Neodiprion lecontei: one gene and its partner. The protein of the gene in region 1 purifies or fractionates together with the protein of each later gene. This does not show direct contact. Links are inferred from orthologs where the notes say so. Each region holds a gene or a part of one and is shown in the gene's direction. Other genes may lie near its edges. The genes, in order: ribonuclease P protein subunit p29 and ribonucleases P/MRP protein subunit POP1.

Region 1 (8,399 bases):
ATATCATCTAGCTGGTGCAAAAAAAGTTCAACAAGCTCTGGCCAAGCCTGGAGTTCTCGCCAGATTTCTGAAGGACGAGGAGACAGTTCAGCAAATCAGAGGAATATTCACTGGTAAATATTATCAAAATTAGATAGCATACTTTTACACTAATGTTGTGGAATAATAATCAGTAAAATTACGACTGCATCGGTTTAAAGAATGGTCACTGAATCGATCATTTTAATCTGTTATTGATTCAAAATTTTCCAGGTCTTTATGCTTTGGATTTTGATGAACACGGGGAAAATGCAATAGACATGGGGATAGCAAATCCTGAACGCTTTGTTTTGAAACCGCAGCGAGAAGGTGGTGGAAATAATGTTTATGGAAATAACATAAAAACCGCACTAGAATCCATGAAGGACCAGCAAGAGAGATCGGCATGGATCTTGATGGATAGAATCCAACCACCGTTGCAAAGAAACTATCAAATACGAGCAGGAAGTGATACAGATACAGAAATGAAGGAAGTCGTTTCGGAATTGGGCATATTTGGTGTATTGATCGGCGATGAAAAGAATATTATCATTAACAGACAAGTTGGTCACATGCTTCGAACAAAATTGGCCAGTGCTGATGAAGGCGGTGTTGCGTCAGGATTAGGGGCTTGTGATAGTCCCTATTTAACTGACTAGTTGAAATGCACATGTAATACCATCGTTGTTAATTATCACCTGATTTTGTACTTAGCAGTCAAGAACTAAGAGAACAACTACTGATGAAAATCTGACAAATGATTGTAATTTACGCCTAAAAATTATTTTATACGAAGAATAGGCTTATTTAGCATTTAATGTGACAATAACTCATCCCTGTGCCACACATTCTATTTATATGAATATATTTTCGATGATACTTTATCCAACGCTTCCTAATCAGCCAATTGTCGGAACTCGCCAGAGAAGTATGGAGTAATAAAATAATATATTTCTGGACTAGTAATCCAGAGTGATCACTTGTACTACGTACTAAGTTTAACCTACCATCCTTTTCTTAGATACGTCTAAATTTACTTTATGGTGTGATATTTTCTACTATTACTTATAGTCATATTGTATATTGGAATAAGTCTTTATGTTATATAAACAGGGGGATAAAGTTCTGAGAACCCATACATCCAATTAATTTGAAATTTTGTCACGAATGTTATAGTAAAAATACCCGCAAATATGAATTTCACGGTCAAAACTCACAAAAACGAATTTAAAAAAAGTTTTTCTATGTTATTTCGATAAGTGTTGATCTGAGAAAAAAATGTTTTCTACAAAATTTGTAGCGTATAAAAAGATTGATCTTATACCTATGTTCCAAACAGTTTTTGTTTGAAATAATTATTTTCTCGTTCAGGAAAATTAGGATAATGCTTCAATATGTACGTTATTATGCATCTGTCATAAGGAGACCCAACTTATTCTAACCTTTGGTCTGCGATAGTCACCAATCCTAGTGGTAAAGTGTGTAAATAGAAAAAAAATCGAAACTAATGGACTTTTGGCAAAACGTACTTATTGGAGCATTATCCCATTTTTTCCAAAAAAAAAAGATTTCAGACAAAAACTGTGTAGAACATAAAAGATCAATCTTTTTATAGGCTACAGCTTTTGTAGAAATTTTTCTTTCTACGATCACCGCGTATCGGAATAAAATAGAGAAACTTTTTAAAAATCAATTTTTGTGAGTTTTGACCATGAAAATCAAATTGGCGGGTATTTTCACTATCATATTCTGATCAGTGAGCCAAAATACATGGGCATTCGAAATTCCAAATTGATCGGTATGGGCTTTTCGGAACTATACCAAAACAGGGTGCTGAACCAAAAAATGAAGTAAAATTCACAATGTCACATTTACCTAGTCTTTTTACACATGTTATTTATATCGCAAAAGCAGAAGAATAATAAAAGAATTGCAACAGAGCATTATCTATGAAGAGGAAAAAGCCACTAAACCATAGACTGCTAGTAATCGTTCAATATATGTTTTTTTGTTATTACATTCCAGCAATGCCAGATGTGATTCACGCAGTAGCTAAATATGAGGTAGAAACAGAGCCCCGTGAAGTCTACTTTTTCCGAGAAGGAACTGTTGTTTTTTGGAATATGTCAGAACTTGAAAGTGGAAATTTACTGAGATTCTTGAAATCCTATGAACAACATAGTTATGCTGATAAACTGGTGCAGTCAGAGAGTGAACTAATGCTGTACACGCATTTAGAATCTAGGTAAGATATCAGAATGGTTGAAGTGTTTTTGATTGCGCCGATCTTTATTCCAATTTGTATTGCCGATTGATATAAGTCCTAATTAACGGATGCTCAATGTATGTACCTGACAACCTGATTTTTGGTATACGTTACAGTAAAAAGAGCCATTTGAAAGAAGGAAATATCATGTTGGCACCAAATGCCACAGACTTGGATAAATACACATTCTCAAATGCAATTGCACTCTCTGTCAAACTTGGCATATGGGAAGCATCACTAGACCGTTATGTGGATTCAATTGCTTTTGTTACTGATGATCTGAAATCTGGTCGTCCAATAAAAATGAGCAGAGAAGAAGTTCTGCGAAAGCAAGGCGAATTATTTGCGCTCAGGCATATGATCAACTTGAGTTCCGACCTTTTAGATACCCCAGATTTTTACTGGGAAAGAGATGAATTGGAAAATTTATTCCAACAAACGTGTAGTTATTTCAGTATTGCCAAACGTACTCGGGTATGTGAAATTATAGTAATACACAATATGTCAATCAATTTAATTTCGTACTAGCGAAATATAAAACTGCTTAAACATTTCTCCATTGTTAACGAATTCGAATTGAAATCTTAGATTACCTTTGTATTATAAATTCAATTATGGATCTGACCAATATTTTATATAGAATAATATACATGATTTCTGTCCACAGGTGATGAATGAGAAACTGAATCATTGCGTTGAACTTGTAGAACTTTTGTCATCCCATCTTAGCGATCGTCATCACGTTCGTTTAGAATGGATGATAATTGTATTAATTATGGTTGAGGTAGTATTTGAAATACTACATTACATCGATCGTTATTTTGCCGATCAACCCCAAACATCTGAAGTGTTGACCTCCTAGTTACACTCTAATATCAATTAAAATATCTATGTATATATATATATATATATATATCATTTTCAGCGAGTAATTTCTACAATAGCAGGTTATAAATACTGTAAATATATAGATAATTTGCGTTTATAAAGTATAAATAGTTACTTATTTGTTATTTGCCACATATGTTGTCTTTACAATAATAAGAGAAACAAATGTATAAGGAATTGAAAACTGTTGTAATGATGATTAGATTTATTTTAGTTATCAGGCTCATGCATTATAGGGGCATTGCCTAATTTTAATTTTGAGAACTTTCGTATTGACTTTTCAATGCTGTGTAACATGTGTTATCTGTTACACAAAATAAAAACAAAGTAGAAAAATAAAATTCTCTACCCTAAATACATTTTTTGATAGAAATAGCTGCAGATTCCAAGAATATGAATATTTTTCGAAAAGAATTTTTAAGGCGACTCGATGTTTCAAATTTTCAAATCGAGATGAATCGAAAACGTAAACATGTGTCGCTGCATGTCAGATCCAAAGGTCAGATCGACCTAGGTATATGAAGCTAGCCTGTGAACTTCGAATTTCTTAAAAATTTTCACGAAATTCCTATGTTGCAGGCCAACTTTACTTTCCTGCCTTTCTTATAAATTGTCATAAACTACACCATGTTATAAACCATAAACGTCAATTACTCGTCAACTTACCATGTGCGTGCGATGTGCACGTGACAGCTGCGTTTGATTCGTGATTGCTTATGCTAACTAGAACTCAAGTGGGACCTTATGATCTGTCATTTCTGTTCTTTGGTAGGCATTCGTGATTCAAGTTTTGATCACACATTATTTATTTCGATTTTATATCGTAGGAATTAGAGAGAGTTTATAGGGAGGGGAAACACAGTGAGTTTAGGTTAGATTGCAGCAAGAATCTTCGGAAAATTTATTGAAACCATGTCGGGTAAGATGCCTTTGTTGAACGTTTTAATTAGCTGCAATACAGAATTGTTCATATTCAGATTCAACTATCCGTAATTTGTATTCTTCCAGACAACGTGTGTCTTCAACTTCCAGTGTCAGTGGTTAACCGTGCAACAACATCGACGGATCGCAGTGAATATCTTTTAAATCTTTTAGAAAATATCTTACCACCCTCAGATACTAAATCAGTTAATGAAGAATTGAAAAAGGTAATAAGAATAAAAATTTTACTTCCTTTGTTCCATTCATCAGTCATCTTTTAACATTTTTCACTTTTCAGACATTCACTTTCAACAAATACAGAACAAAGCATGTTCGCCGTAAACCAAAGAAGGTAACATTTTTAACAGCCAGAAAAAGATCAGAACTTGGCTTAAATAAATTGGATAACAGGATTAACTTGAAATACGTTGATGCATTAGCATTGAACCAGCTGTGGCTAGAATACATGCGACAAATGCTTGGTGTTAACAATTTCACTGATTTACCGCAAGGACCAGTCGAACCAAATTGGGACAACATTGGTCAACAATTGCTAAAGGCTGACTTCCATGGAGCAAAAATTGTTGTCATTAGATCTAAATGCCCAAGTTTGGTAGGCATTCATGGCATTGTATTGCAAGACACTAAATGTACCTTCAGAGTTATTGGAGAGGATAGTATTATCCGAAGTAAGACAACTCTGAATTTTAGCATTGAAATCTAATTCTATTGGAAACAAAACTTCTGATTTTTATTGAATAATTTATCAAGATTTGTGCCTAAAGTTACCATGCATACAAAATTTGCACAAGCCTACAAAAAAATGTTAAGACATCCTCATTAGTTACATGCACTTAAGTATATTATTCGATGAGAACGAAAAGGGATAAGAAAAGATATGCGATTAGCAGTATACAATGAAAGATTTTAAAGTTGCTTTCTGTAAACCATCATGAAAATATTAACGCTTTTTTTTCTTGTAGCAATTCCAAAAGACACAGCTGTATTCAAGATATGTTTGGGCAATGTGAATTTACAATTGTTTGGCAGAGAGTTGTGTGTCAGACCTGCTGAGAGATCAGTGAAAAAATTTAAAAGTGCTCGTGTACCTGATTTATAACATAATTACGATTATGAAAATACAAATATTGCTAAAATTTTCTTGAGTACTTTTAATGACTTATCAAATATCACAAATGAGGCTTTCCCATAGTCAAGAGATACGTGCATAAAATTGTATCTTTAACAAGTACGTTGTGCATTTTAATTTTTAATTTTTTTATAATTTTTATAAAAAATGTTTAGTGACGAATATCATTTGTTACTGGTTAATTAATATGGGAATGTGTATGATAAGAAAATGAAAATATGTTCGTCAAACAGGCATTTGTTTATTTCTCACTGTGCATATCCACTTGACACAGTTGTTATATCTTACAGCAAAAACAATTGAATGCAATCCAGTTCTTCGATCATCCATTCTCGATAATTACCTTTTGTATCATTTATTCATTTTTTTTTTTTTCAATAATATTAATTCATATCATATTTTTGTCTACTACTTACATGTTACACTAAATACCAATATAATATATAATAATATAATTATATATTTATAATATATATGTATAATTACTAATAATCCTTGCTTTTTTGTTTGCTTTTTGCAATAATTAGTTATAATAGTATTTCAAAATATTCAAATAATCATGATATTATAATAACAATTTGCGATGCGGATTGGTTAAATCCTTATTCAAATAATAAATCACTAACCACTTCATTTCCAAAAATTTCATTCACGATCAATTTGATTTAGCTATGTTGAAAAGATAAGTGCAATGATGGAGTTTTGGGATTGTCGCGTACCTTTCGCACGCACCACCAGTTCCTAACGAATTCTTACAATTTATTTACCATAATTTAAAGGATCAGTAAACCAATTACACAGGCCTGAAGAATCAGAAACGCAACTAAGAATTCTACCCTAATCGATCCCTCACGAGAAATAATTAGTGTATTTGAGTTTAAAGCATCCCTCAACATGCAGTTAATAATTAATAACGATGCTCTTGTCATGAGATTTGGATTAATGTTCATATACCCACCGAATCAGACTCGTGTTACGTGTTCACTGTCCCATTCAATAATCAGGGGCAATCTACAATTATCACTGCGTTACGTTAAGGCGTATAACTTATTGAAACAATTTTTTTCCAAATAATCAACGTGTTAATCATGCCGTCAGTACACTTTTCAACGGATCAGTTAAACGTACACAGTATGCTGGCAAAAGATAGGTATTTTGCGACGTACCACTGTAAATATTTATTCAGCTACTATAGAACGGTAGCTTCCGAATTTAATTTAAATGACAAATCAGCCACTATTTCTATGAATCATCAATAAAATGTTAATTCAACATTTTTTTTACAGGTTAAATGATTGCTATTGAAGTGTGGTGGACAAATGCTATCGCAGTATTAACATCATTTAAAAATCAATTGATATTCTTGCTCCTGTCATCCATGCAATTCCGATTATTAAGGAAGACACTTTCCTTAAAAAATTTTAAGCCTATTGTATTCAGATCAACTGTTAGCACAGCGTAAACTGGAGCTTATTAAATAATTCGGAACGATTTTTAAATCGTGTCATTACTTCGGGCATATCATTTTTTTAATAGCCATGTAAAAAATTCTGCCATTAAACAACTGCGGATATGTCAAGGACATATAATTATAGCCCCCCTCAACGTTCTTGATTGCCCCGGTAAATTGTCAATTCGATACTATTGTTACTCAATTATGTAAAGCAGCCTAATGAACATACCATATACATATTATATACTTTATTTTTTCAATTATTCATAAATCCTCTAATTAATACTAATTTTTGTTGCGCCCACAAAATGCTTTTTTTTAGGAATAACTGTATTAATAATTATTTTTCATTTTTTTTTTTTTTTTTTTTTACATGAGACGTTTTTTGAGATTGAATAGTTGACAATTATTACAGCGGTAGATGATGTTTTATAGAATACATGTTTCTAGTTTTACTAGTTTATTAATTTTCTCCTTCATTGAATTCTTTTTTCCTTTACAACTACTAGCTTGACATTGCAAGATATTTGTCAGACAGCAGATTTCTGACGGTTGACTGTAACGTATCAATATTAATGGAACCTTGCTCTAGCTAAACCTTATAGAAAAGTAGGTATTGTTGATCATTGTGGAACGTGTTGTGAAATGTGTCTCACATACCGTAGCCCTGATAGGCTGCAGTAGGAGGTGCATAAACTCCTTGACCCGGAGGTGCATAAACACTTTGAGGTGCGTAACCTGGTGCCATCATTCCTGGTCCTGCTGTCAACATCAACTGTGGCTCAGCTGTAATTAAATTATAGCGTATTTTACAAATATTTTTGACACCTACCATTAATTTGAAAAACTTCCCGATACAAAATTACATTTCATTGATATCAATAAGAATCGTGTACAAGTATTAACAATTTTTTAGAAAAAAGGAGCGTTTAAATACCAGAACACATGAACTTACCATTTCAAATCATTTAAATTAAATTAAATTAACACTTACGCATGATCATTGGTTTGTGCTCCTGTTGATCTGTTTCTTCCAAGCGCTGGCTTTCAGCTTCTTCGAGTTTATCAACCTAAACGAGGGATTACAAATGAAAATCACAAAACAAAAAGACAAAAAAAAAAAAAAAAATGTGAGTGACGTACATAATAGTATTTGTTTAAACTGATGAGCTGTTTTTATAATTTTCATGGAAATAGTTTCAATGCTACAATACCTTGGTGATGTACTCTCGGGCAACTTGAATTAGATAAGGCATTGCGAAGTGAAGGATTCTGTGCCTCCAGGCAAGTTCCAAAATTACATCGGGATGAAGCAAGTCGTAACAGTAGAAGAGGCAAGCTGCAAAACAATCTTTTGATCCTCTCTCTAAGAACCATTCTAGCAGTTCCTCAGCTACCTCTGCATTCCTAGACTCCGCAGCATACTCCATAGCATCTCTAAAATTTAGTGAAGCTTTCAAAATGTAGCAACTACAGGGTTAACAAAAATATTTCAAACTGAAGCAGCCTCTCACCGGAATAGCCTGTCTTTTTTGCAAAGTTCAACCGATTGTTTCCATCTGTTATTGCCTTTGTACAGGTACGCCGCAATCCTTCTAAACTCGATTAGCTCGTGTTTCTCAAGCTGCTGAGCGAGAGCAATGTTATCAAAGTTATCAAAAGCGTCTATTGACGTCCTCAAACCTTGATAATCTTCCTCGTCA
Region 2 (9,414 bases), on another chromosome or scaffold:
GTAATCGATCGCAGCGTCGAACGCGCATGGCACGAAACTGTTTATTAACAAATACATGATATGTGACTATCAGATGTAATCAGCCCGTAAAACTCATACCTTCATCAAAAGCGTATCCAAAATCTTTCAGCGTTGTAGGAAATACAGGATCAGTCATTACTGCCAGTTTCGTAAACTCCCAGTTCACAATACTGCTAAAAATGCGACGTATCACCCTAAACATGGGACTGAAAAATACTACAGAAATACAGGCGTGTAGTCTTGCCGCGTTTTTGATTCTCGCAGATCACTTGAGGTAGAGCCACCTCGCGGACGGAATCGCCACACCAGCTCCTATCGCATGCTCAACATGTTTGACGACGTTACCGACGATACTTGGGTGCGTGGTGTTTGTCAGGTTGCTTGCGATCATTTGTAAAATGTGGCATCTGAAACACTCATTTCGAATCTCATTGCGCGGCATGAGGATTGAGGATTTTGTGAGAAATGTTTCCCTATAACGGGGGAAAAAATTCCCAAAACTTACAGTACATACATCATTTTTGTTATTAGAATGATTATTATCGTTATTGTTGTTGATCTTTTTTTTTTTTGTATACAGTTTATTACTTTTTCTTGGAACTACGAAATGCAGAAAAATAAAGCCTAGGAAGATGACGTTCGAAAAAATTCTGCGTCAGATTTTCCTCCATATTCAGAGCTTTGCTGATTTCAGTCAACTGGCACTTGAAGACCCACCGACCGTTTTCACTTCACCAGTCAATGCAATTGCCTCGATTTCAACCTTCGCCCCCTGAAAACGAGTGATCGCACTTTTTGTTAATTTTCATGAATCTACCTTGATTATGAATCATGAATTCATGATCGGTTGCACCCCACATTTTTTGAACAATTGGATATTTAGATTAAAGGAATACCGTACAGTAGTACCTGGATTAATCGAATGAACGATTTTTACAGAATCAATTTTTGTCAACCCTAAGAATATCATAACTATGGTATACAATTCTTACCGTTACGGGATACATGTTGTAAAAAGCAAGCATGCTATTTACCGAAAACGAGATAATATTACTCAAACGAGTGACAAATTTTCAAATAAAGATCTTACCAATGGTAGCTTCCCAACCTGGAATGTGGACCTTGCTGGATAATCCTTTGTGAAAACTGTAAAAAAAGCAAATTAAACGACCATTAACTAATTGTCGATTAGAGCATATTTGTGTTTAAAAAAATACTGTTATCAAAATAAACAAACTTACATTCCTTATAAACTTCGTTTACAGCAGAAAAATCATCGATACTGTTGAGCAGGATAGTCGTCTTTATAACTGTAGCAATAAAACATGAGAAATTTTTTAATTTATGGTTTCTCAACTGCTGCCGTATGGTCTCGAAACGAACGACGTATCGCCGGCATACAGGCAATTAGAGTTACATATGAGGTACTCCAACTAGAGGTGAGTAATGTAACTTCGGTTGCCTATCTGCCGGCGAAACACCGTTCGCGTCGAGATCGGTCACCGAAAACTGATTGTATTTTATAATTATCTTTGTATTGAGCGGTTACATATTTAATGTAAAGTAATAGATAAAAACCTTTCTCAAAGTCGGAACCCGCCTCCTTTAAAATACACCCCATATTGACGAGTGCCTGACGAGCTTCTCCGGCTGCCCCACCATCGACCAGCTTCCCAGAATCCTTATCAAGCCCAAGTACTCCAGAAAGATAAACGGTTCGGTCGACTAGGACAGCTTGACTATTAACAATAAGAAAAACAATGATTAGTATCTCAAAAAAAATTTGCAAGTGGAACAAAAAATTTTGATTTTTGTTACGTGCATCACCAATGTTTGAGCAATACAATTATCAACGTAGCATTGTTATCTACACACCGATATGCAGTAAATGGCGTGCAGAAAAGGAAAAATAGTGAGATAACTAAACATCATATTTAGACGTATCCGTTCTTAATAAAGAACAAGTAATGACAATAATTTGGCAGAAATCAAATAAACTGTATTGAATATATGTAATGTAAGTAATATGATATTGATATTCATTTTAATTCTTTTTATTTGTGATCGAAAACAGATTATTGATGCGCTTTTCGCACCGGAGTCGTCCGTAAGATGTGAATACTATGTATTATAAGAAATCGTAACTTGCACGATCAGTAAATGAATAACGAAAAACATTCGTTAGGTAAACATAGAGGTATCCTGATATTTTAACTCACTTATAAGGGCCAACGGGTTTAGGCGCTGCTGGACAAGTAATAATTTTCCGTATTATAGACGCCATGTTCTTTCAGGGCAAACCGCAGTACACTAAGAGTATAAGCGACTGACCGGCTTTCTCCAATACCGAATTATCTTTTTATTTGTATAGAGGTATAATTCAATCAGTCGTACATATACGTCCGCGCATGCATGTGGAATATATACATTTTTCAAGTAGTGTTATGTATTCGTGCACGATTGTGTGCAGCTCACAAGCATTGTAAATGACGACGTTTGATACACTCTGTGAACTATGACCTGTGTGCAATGGCAGTGGCGTACACATTCAGCTATGCTAGTGAACGTACAGCAATTAGTAAAGCTACTAATACCACGTGATGGAACAAATTATCAGCTATCAAATATCGGCATATTTCTGGAGTGCTTGCGAATTGATTCGTATAATTCAACATGTCCGTACAGAATTCTTCCATCCCGAAATATCACAAATTAAATTTGAAAGATATGTCATATGATGAACTATCTCAGCTCCATAACTTCATGAGTGTATGTTAAACTTTGTAGAAAAACTTTTTGAGAGAAATCTCGACCCCTAAAATTTTAGACAAATATAAGTGACTGAGATTTTGTCTGTCCTTGTTTTAGTCTTTGATTTCTTTATTAAAGTGCGCTGTAATTACGACTCACTTATATGGTCCGGCCGATTTTGGTGCCCTTGTAGTTGATATAATTTTTCGAATAATTTTCATCGCCATTATTACTGTATGATATACGCAATATTGTCAACCTTAGGTATGAGGTTCGTCGCGTAAGCTAGTACGGTGATATAATGATGACTGATTCGGACGGAGTCGCAATTTTCAATACGCGCAAATTGTAACGTAATATTCTGCTATTGTTCGTGCGTATCATTTATTTCTATTCATGTTATCAGTTCAAAAGAAAAATCGAAGGCCGATCAATGATCAACATTCCTAACACTGCAATTCCAATACTGGAGATTGTGAATAACTACGCAGACATGAGAAACTAGAACTGTAATTTTCTTGCCTGCGCCTTAGTGTTAGACATCTAGGTATACACCAGAACAACATACACACGTGGTCGAAGATGAATGATACTCTTTCTGTCACGTGGTTCGAGCAAGACTGAACATAACCTCAAATCAAATTTCGAAATATCGGCTCGTAGTGTTCGTTGGAAGGTACAAATGCTTGGATCAGAATCCAATTACAATTTCTCGTACAAGAATTGTCACGGAAACTTCAAGTATGGCGGAAAAGGCTCAATTCGACATATTCCTCGGTGGATCCCAGGAATTACCTCCCGAAGCACATATCATGAAACTGGCATCGGCGAGAGCGAATGAAATCGCCGCGATGACTTATTCCATAGGTAAAATATTTTCCCGTCCATTATAAAATAAACCTAACCTAATCTAGATATTGTTCCCTCTCCAATTCCTGCTTTTGTTTAAATGTCTCTGGTGCTTCATAATTCAGCCACCTTGACATGGAATATGTATCTTTCCCGGATGTATACCCAGGTTTTTCTTTCTTTTATTTCGTCCCTCATTTCCCCAACAATGCCATTAACTTGATAATACTTGAGAGTGTTAATTGCGCGGGAATTTTGAATTTTTATTGAAGAATGACCATTATGCCTTGATATTGCAGATAATCCTCAACAGACAAAATTAATATTCCAAAAACTACCGATGCATATGCGTCGCAGAATAATGTCCCACAATGCAAAGCGTATGCCAAGGAGACTACGAGAGATGCATATTCACCAAATGTCAAAGTCAGGTTTGCCACCCAAAACAAAAAGACCCTCCCGAAAGTACCGGCGAAGGCCACAGAACCTGATCGCAGAGTACAAGCGTAGGCAGGTAAAGAATGCCTGGCTTGAAACACACGTGTGGCACGCAAAAAGGTTTCACATGGTTGAAAAATGGGGTCACAGGCTCCCTGAGCACTCAAATGATCGCAGTTTTAGAGCGAGTTACAGAGCAGTAGCAAAACACTGCCTGCTACAGGACATATCTTACTATTCTTGCATTCAGCTAACTGGACCGATTAATGCGCTGAAAAAAATGCTCAAGAATCACTGCGATCCTGGCAACCTGAGCTTCACAGCAAAATCCTATATCCAGGGTAGCAGGGAGGGGAATCTTATGTTCTACAGGAAGAACGGATATCCAACATCACCTGTGGGAACTGTAGAGTTCATATGGAGGCCTGGTAACTCTGAACTAAAAACATTATGGATGTGGGCGCATCCTGCATTTTATCAGCTAATATTGTCGGAGATTTGTAACAGCTTCAAGTTTAATCTTGAGTCTCCGTGCCATTCCTCAGATTCAGAGTATTCGGGTGCTGATAATTGCAGATTAGTATTACTGAAGAATTCCTTGAACAGGTTCAGACTTTGCGGTCCATTGAGTCTGGCAGTGCTCACGACTGCCCTACGTCTGCCAGAGATAGGAAAAATTCTTGACGAAGTGAGAAAATCTGAGGGAGAAGGAGATGAAGTGAAGTCACATACTACCATGGAAACAGATTCACCAAAATGTGGTGATTCGGATAGTGATGTTGAAATCGTTCAGGTTTCTAAGAAGGAAATTGAACCAATGGACGTCGAGAGCAATACTCGTATTGATAGAGATGACAACAACGAATCACTTGAGACTACTGCCCGATCATGGTATTCGGAGTATTATAGGGACTCAGAGAACATTCAGTCACTGCAAGTTCAAAAAGAGGTTTTTGAACATCTGAGGGATCTTAATTCACCCAACCAGCTTCCCCCATGTGCAGTTATGGCTTTCACAGTTTTGGATCCAAGATATTTCGTCCCGACTAAACGAAATAAAGCGCAGACAAATGCAAGGACCATTGAGACGATTCCTGTTCCTCCCACACTTATTAATGTTAGTGCAATATGGGAACCCAGAATCAGAAAATCATCGGTGAAAAACTTCAAGACTACAAATGAAATAAACAAACTGAGAAGTGAAAATTTAGTTCCCGGTATTGGCAATGACGATAAATATGACCAAAGCTATATTGCCAAAGTACCTATTCTTCTTATTCAGAGGCCTGGATGCGGCTATGGAGAAAAAAGTCTTGGTAAGCCATGCAAATTGCATTCATTCCATCGTTATTTAAAATTTATCTAGTCATTCTGGATGTAGTTATGACAGTTTTTGAGAATGTGACTTGTGAGCTTCTAGTATTATAACAGAAAGACTGAAAGGCAAGTAAAAATTTAAGTCCCAAGTGTATTTCTTCTATCAAACTCAAATTTTGAATTGGCATTTCAAATATTCGATTGTTTAACTGGATTAATTATTTTCAGGATTCAGTTCTGGAATCGACGTAATTTTACCATCTGGTTGGGCAACTCCGTTTTGGATCTCGTTTATTTTTCGTTGTGCCAAACCAGGAGGTTTGAGGGAATCAACATCAATTATATTTGAAAATCTTAGGTTGAATTCGCCTGATTTTAATCCGCCAGATACAGAAGCATACATAAAAGAAGCTTCAGAAAGAAAGACTAGTCTAATGGAAAAGTATTTCAGATATCCTCCAAACAGGAGATCAAATTACGTGAAACTTGGTATTTCTAGTCCGTTCTATTGCGAGTGGAATTTACTTATCAAGGAATGGACAGATATGGCAACGTTCTATGTACTCAGAGATAAGAAACTGCTTCATTTAATACAAGAAAATATCTCTCATCAATTACCATTGAACCGGCATAAGAAGTATCAACAGCTTTGTGAATCAAGTTTCGACAAAACTGTGTTCAAAGACACTAATACGTTAATAACTGTAAAGATTGTCATAGAAAGCAAAGGGTGTCCCAGAGATTTTGCCATAATCTGCTTACCCCTCTCTGAGGATTTAGAAAAATTGGGCCAAAAAAGAACCTGGGAAGGGCCTGTAGCTAAGCTAAGAAAAGACCCCAACGAATCGATTAGAAAAACTTTGAGAAGGGGTCACTTGGCGCTATTGAAACGTTTGAGAAGACAAAGAGTAAAACAGCGGATTAAAATGGAGAGTAGTGATCACAGATCGGTTGAGCCAAAGCCCAGTTCCAGCATTGCGATGTCTAAAATAATTTCGCGAAAAAAGGCTCAAAGTATTGTTGACCTGCAGGCTGAAAAGATGAAGAATCTCTATTTGCCAAATTGCAAAACGATACGAAACTCTTGCGATCGAGAAGTTATGGGATACGTGGTTAAAGGAGACTTCAGTTTTACCGAATCAAAGGGAATCGGACTGGGATACGTAACACTTCCCTCTCTGTTTAGCCTAATTAAGCAGAAAAGTAACGTAGTTCTGATCAGAAACACAAGATCTAGACAATACAGACTCGCCAGACTTAGTATACTGACATGAATAACTATTGACCTGTAAATATATTGTGAATGATCAATTAACTTCAGGAGAGTAACGTACAAATGTATATAAATCAACGATTTCTTCTGGAAATTCTTAAATAGCGCATCAAGGTAATTGTAGAAACCATTTGAATGTGGCTCTAAGAGATTTATTTGAATACCTTATTTTGCTAAAACTATTACATTGTGACAGGCTATGCGCTAATTATTATGTTTCATAAATAAAATTATCGCCTACCATAGACGGAAGTATATAGTATATTGGGAAAAGAATCATGATTTTTAAAGTGTAGAAGAAGAGAGTCCAAATTCTCATCAGTTATTTGCCAGTGCGATGTACAAACAATAAACGAACTGGCAGTTCTTGTCATTTGATATTATTATTACCAGTAGTTTCCCATTGCACGTTGAGCAATTGAAATTAAATCAACAAAGTAGACTTTTCCCGTTTACAAATCTAATGAAATAAAAGCCCGTGTTTAACAGGGCGTTTTAAAAAATCGTGCCTTCGTTTTATTTATGATTTTTATTTTATTATTTCGATCTTATATTCGCACATAGACATGTACGTACATGCAATAAAATACACAGGTACGCCTACATGTTACTATTTTATATCTACTAGTGCTTTCATTATTATTTTTTCTTCGTTTTGCCAGCAAAACTTAGCAGTCGTACTGTATACCTATTGCTACTATACAAGGTATTTGAAAGATAATACTTTTTTAACCACAATAAACAGTAATAACCCCGTGCTGGCGCTGTGAATCTATATCAGAAAACTTTGATCCAATTAACAGTAAGATTGCTATGTAGCAACTTTATTTAATGGTTCCAATGAGCATACTTCGAAATAAATTAAATAAGTACTGTAAAAATATATACTTTAGGTCTGAAAAACCTTCACCTTTGAATATCATTTTAAGAATTAGCAGGACTGCTGGTGGTGACCAAGCTATTTTGAAAAGTATTCGTTAATTTCTGTAAGTGAATATGTGTAGTTTCTAACACCGATTATAAGAAAGCATGGGGAAAAAGAGTCGAGGAATTCTTGCAAGTTTTTCGTTAACAAGATAATCAAAACAAGGTATTAATGAATAAATTTGGAAAGTAGTTTGTAAAACTTTGAGTAAGTTTAATGAAAAAAATTAACTAAATTGTTAGATGGGTACACATTACCTATATTAATTAATAAATGGAAAGATTAAACCGAGGTTTCGAGGCCAGAAAGCTTTTGCTCAATTGCTAGGATATTCTAATTATTTGACCTATGACAGGTATCTTTTTTAACTATAATACAGTGGGGTATATTTTAACAGGATCGTTTTATTTCATTACATTAAATAGTTCTGCGATTACTAAATCGACTCTTTAATTAAATTCAATTCTAAATTTGTTCTTCGTTAGAATAATTTTCTCAAATTTACATTCACGAATGTAAATTGCACGTTTTTCTTTTTTATTGCAACGTGTTAATAAAACGTCAAATTTTGAAGTAGCCAGTTTTCTACTGAATAGAATGGTAGCAATTACCATACCTGTCGACTACAATTCATTTTCGTATTGGTTTTTGATGTTTCCTATTCCATTTGTTTTTCTTCCCTAGTATGTTTAATTAACGACTAAAAATAACGTAGCATTGGAATTATTGATTTTATTTATAATATTCATCACTCTCAATAATAATACCAATAATAGTGATTATATTATTAGTACCATCATTAATTGATACAATTAATTTAGTTTATTATGGCTTGAGAACTTTTTCAACGAACATCTTCATATCGCGCATCTCCTGAAAATTTCAATCGCACGGAATCAATTGATTTCTCATGCTCAAACCTGTAGTACAACTATCTTCAATAAGCTGCACAGATTAAACATCGCGTGGAAAAATAGTAATACATAAAAAAACAAAAAATGGGATACTCACATCGTCGCAAGATGTGTGCATCATTCCTCGATACGTTTTAAACTCTGTATTGGTCATGAACTGCTTCAACAACGATGCAGTCATCTGGCCCCACTTGTATGGAACAATTGGATCGCAATCACCGTGGCACTGCAGCAACGGGACATTTTTATTGCCAACCGCACTCTGGAACAAGATGTAAGAAATGCACTGTGCAACTGCAGCTGATATAGCATCGTATTGCAATTTCTTTCAACATACGGCGGGGAACCTCTGATGCAAAGGGAGCCAAGCTGATAAAGCTATGACGCCTGCTAGAGGCTCTGGAAACGTGAGTGCACTATACATCGCCAGAGCTCCACCTTGACTAAATCCTCCGATAACGATTCTCTTCGTTGGTATACCAGCTGCGACCTCCTGAGCTATCAACGAGTGTACAACTTCTGCAGCCCTACGGATACCCTCTTCATCTTCTGGACCTGATGGATCGAGCGATCTCAGGTCAAACCTAAATTATTTAAAAATTTGAAAAGACATGGGAAATAACGCTGTACGTACCACTTTTCATTCTAGTGAAACATGAGGGAAACATAAATTACAAGTTCGCTGAAAAACAATATCAGAACATGAAATTGGCCAAACTTGTTGCAGTTATTCGATCTTACCACGAAGGCATCCGGAATCCGGCGTTCAACGTCACTGGCATAGTTGGCCTAAAAATCGAAAAAGGTGTTTTGAATTCTTGCTCTTCATAAATTCTTGTCATATGCTTCCGAAATTATTCATGTTAGTTAATTATCGACAAAAGACAGACTTACAAAAGGTTTGAACGGAACGTGTCCTAATTTCA

The links.
Region 2: the proteins of ribonuclease P protein subunit p29 (region 1) and ribonucleases P/MRP protein subunit POP1 purify together in Homo sapiens (affinity purification with mass spectrometry; 5 studies listed by BioGRID and IntAct, counting the BioPlex papers as one, with this or other methods). This does not show direct contact. The link is inferred for Neodiprion lecontei from reciprocal best matches to the Homo sapiens genes POP4 and POP1.

The regions. Positions count from the first base shown.
Region 1 is NC_060262.1:35,013,837-35,022,235, reverse strand, and holds ribonuclease P protein subunit p29, read left to right. Parts: upstream 1-3,687; 5' UTR 3,688-3,888; coding exon 3,889-3,940; exon of another isoform or gene 3,941-4,084; coding exon of another isoform or gene 4,085-4,091; intron 4,092-4,180; coding exon 4,181-4,320; intron 4,321-4,391; coding exon 4,392-4,782; intron 4,783-5,076; coding exon 5,077-5,213; 3' UTR 5,214-6,646; downstream 6,647-8,399. Other genes in the region: glutathione synthetase, read left to right, coding at 1-113, 253-677; required for meiotic nuclear division protein 1 homolog, read left to right, coding at 2,044-2,263, 2,401-2,758, 2,952-3,146; clathrin heavy chain, read right to left, coding at 7,349-7,482, 7,691-7,766, 7,911-8,133, 8,211-8,399. UniProt on the Homo sapiens protein: Component of ribonuclease P, a ribonucleoprotein complex that generates mature tRNA molecules by cleaving their 5'-ends.
Region 2 is NC_060264.1:26,746,117-26,755,530, reverse strand, and holds ribonucleases P/MRP protein subunit POP1, read left to right. Parts: upstream 1-3,275; 5' UTR 3,276-3,515; coding exon 3,516-3,639; intron 3,640-3,920; coding exon 3,921-5,375; intron 5,376-5,604; coding exon 5,605-6,650; 3' UTR 6,651-7,137; downstream 7,138-9,414. Other genes in the region: FAM172 family protein homolog CG10038, read right to left, coding at 100-223; 2-iminobutanoate/2-iminopropanoate deaminase, read right to left, coding at 716-793, 1,112-1,167, 1,263-1,331, 1,600-1,760, 2,932-2,999; acyl-protein thioesterase 1, read right to left, coding at 8,400-8,447, 8,586-8,750, 8,826-9,072, 9,230-9,277. UniProt on the Homo sapiens protein: Component of ribonuclease P, a ribonucleoprotein complex that generates mature tRNA molecules by cleaving their 5'-ends. Also a component of the MRP ribonuclease complex, which cleaves pre-rRNA sequences.